Linked DNA regions of Oreochromis niloticus. The main gene of each other region encodes a partner of the protein of the gene in region 2 in a complex. Links are inferred from orthologs where the notes say so. Each region holds a gene or a part of one and is shown on either strand. Other genes may lie near its edges.

Evidence for each region.
Region 1: the proteins of pex14 (region 2) and pex19 are in contact, whole or in part, in an NMR structure (PDB 2W85), measured with the Homo sapiens proteins. The link is inferred for Oreochromis niloticus from reciprocal best matches to the Homo sapiens genes PEX14 and PEX19. Residues at the interface, in NP_004556.1 of Homo sapiens: Leu28, Thr31, Ala32, Lys34, Phe35, Asn38, Ser39, Arg40, Val41, Ser44, Thr48, Phe52, Lys56, Leu58; in NP_002848.1 of Homo sapiens: Gln67, Phe70, Phe71, Leu74, Phe75, Ser77.

The regions. Positions count from the first base shown.
Region 1 is NC_031982.2:26,257,176-26,260,928, reverse strand, and holds the start of pex19 (peroxisomal biogenesis factor 19), read right to left. Parts: upstream 2,920-3,753; 5' UTR 2,852-2,919; coding exon 2,788-2,851; intron 1,329-2,787; coding exon 1,240-1,328; intron 1-1,239. UniProt on the Homo sapiens protein: Necessary for early peroxisomal biogenesis. Acts both as a cytosolic chaperone and as an import receptor for peroxisomal membrane proteins (PMPs).
Region 2 is NC_031984.2:22,474,709-22,478,461, forward strand, and holds the start of pex14 (peroxisomal membrane protein PEX14), read right to left. Parts: upstream 2,721-3,753; 5' UTR 2,616-2,720; coding exon 2,580-2,615; intron 221-2,579; coding exon 170-220; intron 1-169. UniProt on the Homo sapiens protein: Component of the PEX13-PEX14 docking complex, a translocon channel that specifically mediates the import of peroxisomal cargo proteins bound to PEX5 receptor.

The DNA of each region.
Region 1 (3,753 bases), on a different chromosome or scaffold from region 2:
TTTTGTTTTTATGTTCTAGACCCGACTCTAGCTTACACTTGATGTAAACCTGCAGCAGTCTTGCTTCCTAATAGTAAAAGAACCAACATTTGAAAGCTCAAAACTAAAATAACACCGACACTTTCTAGTTTGCAGTTTTGGATAGAAAATTAACAGAAAAAGACAGAAAAGCACTGCTTTATCAGTCAAATATTGCCATCTGCAAATACTGATATTTACTGATATCAGGAAATAAGAAAGTTGCGATGTTTATCTGTTGTGTGACCTCAGTTTTTTTGGTGGTGAAATGTTAAAAAAAAAGTGATGAAGGACTGAAAAGACTTCAAATTGTCTCAGTTCTTTCTTTAAAATCAACATTTCCTAGTTTTCCTAACATTATGGGGAATACACAACAGTAATACACAACTGCCCTCTGGCAGACGGTACAGAAGCCTGCAGACCAGGACCACCCGACACAGGAACAGTTTCTTTCCCCTCGCCATCTCCCTCCTAAACAGTTGACCTGTCACACTGCTCCCCACTGCCAGACTGCAACTGCACCTTATGTACATTCTGTAGTATTCATTCCACCTCATTTCATTTCTGTATTTTATGTATATAAGTTTAGTTATTTATAGTTGGTTTACACAGCTTTGTGTATGTATGTGTATGCATGTGTAATGTATATATAGACGTGTGTGTGTGTGTGTGTGTGTTTTACATTGCTGTGCTTGATAGCCACCATCTACCGGAACCAAATTCCTTGTATTTGTCTGCACATATACTTGGCCAATAAACACGATTCTGATTCTGATTCTGAAAAAACTGAAAAAAAAAAAAAAAAAGTATTGGTATTCACTATTAGCCAAACTTTTATTTAAAAATTTGCCACCGGGACACCACCATGGTTGGACTCAACTCTGATGGAGATGAGAGAGCATACAGGACGGATGTAGAGAACTTGTCCCTCTGGTGCTTAGAAAATAACCTGAAGCTAAACGTCCTTAAAACAAAAGAACTCATAATGGACTTCAGGAGGCACAGACAGGTCCATTCCCCACTGATTATAAATGGAGAACGGGTGGAATCTGTCTCCACCTTCAGGTTTCTGGGCACCTGGACCCACAACACCATCACCCCGGTAAAGAAGGCCCAGCAGCGGCCGCACTTCCTCCGTGTCCTGAGGCAGAAAAATCTGAACCGGAAGCTGCTGCTGGCCTTCTATTCTAAACATTCTATTCTAAATTATTTCGCAAGCACCTTTTGTGCACCACTGCTGGCTGAGGACGAAGCGGCTGCAGGTTCAGGGGCTGGAGGGACGGACGCCTTCTCAAAGTCATCCAACGCACCTGAAAGAAAGCGATGACATTAGAACCAATTCAGTCAAAATGCATTTAATGGTTTCATATTCACTGACAAATAATTATCCAGTTATCCCATTGCTATGGGTTTGTCCCATTGCTATGGGATAACTGGGATAACTGATGGGCAGGATGTCAGCATATGACATCCTGCTGCAGCATATGATGCTGCAGCAATTTTTCTGAACTATAAAATTGTCTATTCTATAAAATTCTTGTTTTTAATCAACTCATTCTGAGTTCAAAATAAAAAAGGATTATTTTCATTATTAAAGAAAATTAGCAAAAGCATAATATATTCACATTTTAAAACACAAAGGCAGTGACTTTTTTTTTTTTTTACTAATCAATTAATCAACAATCACTTCATTCTTCAAACACTCATTTTGACCTTTAATTAGCAAAACACAACAACCTGCTTAATCTTAAACTGACCACAAGAGTGGCAAAGAAAGGTTATTTAAGTAACTTAGAATATGAAATGGTTGTTCAGAAACTGCTGATTTACTGGGATGTTCCCACACAACCATCACTGCGGTTTAAAGAGAATGGTGTGAAAAGAGAAAAGATCCAGTGAGCAGCAGTTCTCTGGGTGAAAATGTCATGTTGATGTCAGAGGTCAGAGAATAGCCAGGAAGCTTCGAGCTGACAGGAAGGCAACATTAACTTAAATAACCACTCAATGCAACCAGTCAACACAGAAAAGCATCTCTGAATGCAAAATACATCAAACTTTGAAGTACAAGGGCTACAGGGGCATAAGACCACGCCAGGTGAAATTCCTGTCAACGAAGAACTAATTTGAAAACTAGAAGCTTAGAAAAGGTTTGACTGGTCTGATGAGTCTTGATTTCTGCTGCAACATTTGGATGGAAGGGTCAGAATTTGGTGCACATAACACAATAATATGTTGTCTTATGTAAGACAAATGATGACTTTAAATTGAAGGAAAAATATATAAAGTGGTTTGAAGATTTTTAGCCCTTTTCTGATTGTTTTATTATTGTTATGAATGTCTTTTATATTGAAAACCTACTGTTGAGAAAATAAAACTGTATATAATTTAGCCTTTATACATATTTGGAAAAATAAAACACTTTAAATCCTAAGCTGGGTTGTTTTGAAAATTTGCCTTGAACAAAATATGTCGTTAAGGAAATTGACTCCGTGTTCTGTGCAGATACACGATGAAGGGCACAAACTGAACCCGGATAAAGTTATCTGACAGCAGAGACATGAAGCGATTCGTGCTGACGTTTCTTCTTGAACATTACTTCTGCAGATCTTTGGGACCCGGGCAGGAGCACCTGACGTTGAGCTAAGCCCTGACACGGTGGAAGCACAACAACAACAAAAAAGGACACGGCGACACCACGAAGCTGCACGAAAATCCCACTGCTGTGTTCAGAAATACACACACTGATAAAATATTAATGCCGAGTCTTACTGTCTAATAATTCTTCCAGCTCTGCATCGTGTCCATCGGACGACCCTCCTGTTCCTGACGCCATGATGTTGCCTTCTCCAACCCAGCGCGGAAACTGCCGCTTCTGCTGTAAAAATGTCGCGAACACCTCTACGTCACTCACCCGAGTCTGATTTTAAATGTAGCGCCGCCTCGTGGCCGGTTAAATATTTTACTCTGGAGTGTTGTTTAGTGTTATGGAAAACGCGCACACAAAAGCACAAATGTTTACATAATACTTCCTGTATTTAATTTCTGTTTTTATTAGAATTTATGTGACTTTTTAAATGTTTTCTATTTAATTGTGGTCACCCTTTTGTGTCATTTTCACTGTACAATTTGCCTTTATTTCATTGTTCTTTGAGATTGTCTTTATTTTAAAGTATCCTACTTTTATTAAATTATAAATATTTTACAGATTTTGTTTGGACATGGTGTTTATCCCATCTTCACCTCGTTGTTCTTATTATTACAATGGACAAATTCTGTATCTGTAAATGTCATTGATAAGAAACCACACTGCTCTGTACATTTAGTCAGTTTAAAACTCGCAAACATTAAACTACAGTTGTTTTATTTGAGAGTCCTGATAGAGAAGTATAGGGAAGATTAAAAGGACTTGAACTGTGGATCTAGCCAAAGCGTGTGATAGAATGAAGTCAGGAGTGGCAGAGAAGTGTGTGAGGGTGGTGCGGGACACGTATAAGGACAGTGAGACAGTGGTGATGTGTGCAGTTTAACTGATAGATGGGTTGAAGGTGGGGGTGGGATTATATCGGGGTTTAGCTCTGAGCACCTTCTTGTTTGGACAGGTTGGCAGATGAGGTCAGCCTGGAGTCTCTGTGGACGTCGATGTTCGTGGATAACATTGTGATCTATATTGAGAGCAGGCAGCATGTGGAAGAGAGCCTGGAGAGATGGAGGTATGCAATGGAAAGAAGAGGAATG
Region 2 (3,753 bases):
TCTTTACAGGAAATGTAATTTAATATTTGCATCGTTTGATCCAAGCTGCTATTTCTTTCCAGCTCTCACTTACATTACTTACATTAGCTTCATTTAATGTTTTTGTGGTTACAGTCAATGTTTCCTTACCAATAATTCATGTAATTCAGACTAAGGAATAAATTCTTACCAGTTCTTCTCTGGGGCTACGTGCTCCATCTTTTCCAGGCAGAAGGCCAGGCTGGGAACATAAACAAACATTTGTATTAGAGTGCCATCTAGTGGAAAACAGAAGTAATGTCAGTTTGAAGCTTGGTAACTATGGTCGCCCTTTACAAGCACACGGTATGTAACGTTGCTGGCTCTATCTATTAAAGTGATAGTATTCGGTTATTCAGGTATGGGACACTTTTACAATAATAGGCCTCACGGCTTCTTTCAGGCATATCAACAACATTTATGCAAAGTGCTTCAGCACTCTTTCGCATTTTGGCAAATTTTTGCAAACTGATCAGGCAACTCTTACACTTAAAAATAGTTTCATTTATTAGGATCCCCGTTAGATACAGACTGAACCCTGTCAGAGCCTGTGTGAAGTACAGAACACAATATTATCTGCTGCTAGATCCTGATCAAAACTGCCTGAATTTTGGGGATAATTTACTGTGACTGAAGTTACTTCTGTGGTGTCGGGTGCATAAATGTGAGCAACTCTCGTGCATTTGAAAAGCTTTTGAATGCATTGTGCTGCTGTATGATTCTGCAGGTACGTAATAAACTCAGAAGACAGAGTTCTAGAAACAGCTGCAAGCATCAAACTAACTACCTACCTAACTTCCTGTTAGCTTCTGTCAAAAGTTAACTACAGTCATAACTCAGAAGTTTTTTAACCTGTTCTCATCATGGTGAAGAGTTTAGCTTCATGCTGTACTCCATAAACATTTCCCTATGTACAGTAACAGATGGGAAACTGTAGAAATTGTGAAGAAGGGAAAATTCACAACACAAATAAGTTGATTGTGGAAGGGTATCCATTTCACTGTGACGTTTATGGAGCAGTGCTTGTAGTAAAATATGGACAGATTTTGTTCTATGGGCAGGAAAATAAATAAATAAATAAAAAAAGGCTATTTGTCATTTCCACAAGATTGGGAAAGAAAACATTAATGATATAAATGGACTGGTTCTTATATAGTGCTTTTCCATTTGAGCACTCAAAGCACTTCATTTGCCCATTCATACAAACACTTTTTTCTAGGCCTTAGCACTTTCTATGGAACATTCACACACATTCTGATGAACACATTAGAAAGCAACTTGGGTTAGGAAATTGCTTAAGGATACTTTGGCAAGCACACTTGAGCAACAGTCTGTATGCCTACAATTAGTAGATGAGCTGCTCTAACTCCTACGCTACAGTTACTGTTTAGAGAATTTTAAAAACAATAAAAATGTATTTAAAGTGTTTATTGTAACTAAGCAACTCACACAGATGAAGGGGAAACAGAAAAACTATTGTAGACTTGAACAGGCCCATGCCTGTAATGTGAAAATGCTTCCAGCCTTATGTCACGTTGAAACTTTTATTAAAAGTGTCATTGCTACTTATATAAAAAGTAACGTCCAAACATGAAACCAGCAAATTCAAGTGGAGTCAGATAAATATTTTAGAATATATTTGAAAGCCTACCAACTTACATAACTAGACTATAGTTATAGCTTAACAGATTCTTTTACTTCCAGAAATAATTTGCCCACACTGAGAAATTTGACCTGTCTGCTACGTGAATGGCATTTTCAAAAAAGAAAAAAAGTACTGAACTGGCACATGCCAGCATTCATTTGTAGATTTGTAGAAATCTGTTGCTCATAAACTGAGTGATAACTTTACAAGTACTTGTAAATACTGTCAATCCACACAAGTTCCTTGATTACAGTGTTCCTTGACTTTATTAGTTTCTGCATTTGGTAAACACTTTCTATACACTTAAAGCCGTTAGCTCTCAACTATGTACATAAAAAAAACTTTTATATTTCTCTACAGCATATATAAACATCTTTTTTTCTGAAAACAGCATCTCAGCTGTAGCAACAAAAAGTACAGAAGTCACGGGTGACATACATGAATAAAAACCTTCGGTGACATTTGTTTTCGGGGGGCTGGTGAGTTCAAAGCCAACACTGTGACTGCAACCCAACAGAAACCATCAGGTTTGTTTGCCTACACTGACCTTTGAGTTGCACCTACAGTTATCTGCACACAGTAAGACGAGGCTACACGCTCAGATGCAATTGTACAGCTGAATCGTTTGATGACAATGGCAAATCTAGTAACTATGCCCTATTATTTTCGACACAATATGGCAACTCTAAATGACGCCCCTTCCTGCCCACTTGTAAACACACTCATGTCTCAGTGACAACTTTTGACTCGTAACCTAGCTAGCATGCTAACTAGTAGGCATGCTAATCTCTAACTTTGTGAGCATTTCCAGGCACGTGATGCCAACGTTAAGACATCTAAAGCCCCGAAATATCTAAAACAGTTCACTACCGCAAATAGACATTAAAAAGAAACCGCTTTTAATGCATATAGAGACCTGTGTTGTTGCCTCAGCTTGGTCGTTGGATGCCATCTTCTTCTTCTTCTGTTCCTTCTGCCACACTTCTTATTCTGGTATATTTCTACCACGCAACATGCTTTAAGATGCACTGCTGCCTCCTGCAGGGGAGTACGGGACACTGCAGGATGAGTCTCACTCCAAAGTTTCACTCCCCATTCTTACTGTCTGTTATTGAAACGCTACAATATAAAAGCACATCAAGTTCGGTTTCAGCTTCCTCATAGCACATTCTCATGCTCACACACCTTCAGTAGATCTTAGACTAAGACTTCTGCGTGGTCAATGTTGATGACTGTCTTTCTTTCACTGCCAAGAAAACTTATTTTTTGTAAATTGTTTTTATTTGTTTTGTCTGTTTGTTTTGTTTTTGTCATAGTAGAGCCTATTCTACCTTTAGACTTAATGTCAGCTTCATCATTTCCTCAGCTGAACCCACCCTTGCGCCTAAAGAACAAGAAAAAAAATCTATACAACAAAGCCAACAGCTTAGTCACGAGGTGTGGTAAGTCCCTACTTGTTGAAACGGATTTGCATTCAGCCACCAGATAATAGCTTAATATGGCTTTGCCCGGGGCCCCTTCAGAAATCACAATACTTAATGAATTCACAGCAAGAAGATACTACTTATTTACTCTATTTCATAAATAAGAAAAACAAATAAATAAAACTATAAAGTCATTTGCTACAGCAACCCCCTAAAAGTCAGACCCCAAAATGCTAGACTTACAGCATTAAAAGGGATTGTTTCAGGTGACATTGTGATGTAAGTGGTGCATTTTTGGACCATATAATGCAGTCTTCTTTTTCTCTCTTTAGGGGTTGCCACAGGAGATCATCTGCCTCCATTTCATCCCATCCTTAGCATCATTTCTGTCACACAACCCTCTGCATGTCCTCTTTCACTACATCCAAGAACCTCCTCTCCGATTCTCTTCTTTTCCTCTTGCCTGGCAGCTCCACATTCAACATCCTTAGTCCAGTATATCCACTTCCTCTCGTTTGCACAATGTTCAAACCATCTCAGCCTTGCCTCTCTAACTTTGTCTTCAAACTGCTCAACTTGAGCTGTCCCTATCATGTACTCATTTCTAACTTCTAGTTTCTGATTTTTAATTTCTGGTCACTCCTAATGAAAATCTTAACATCTTCA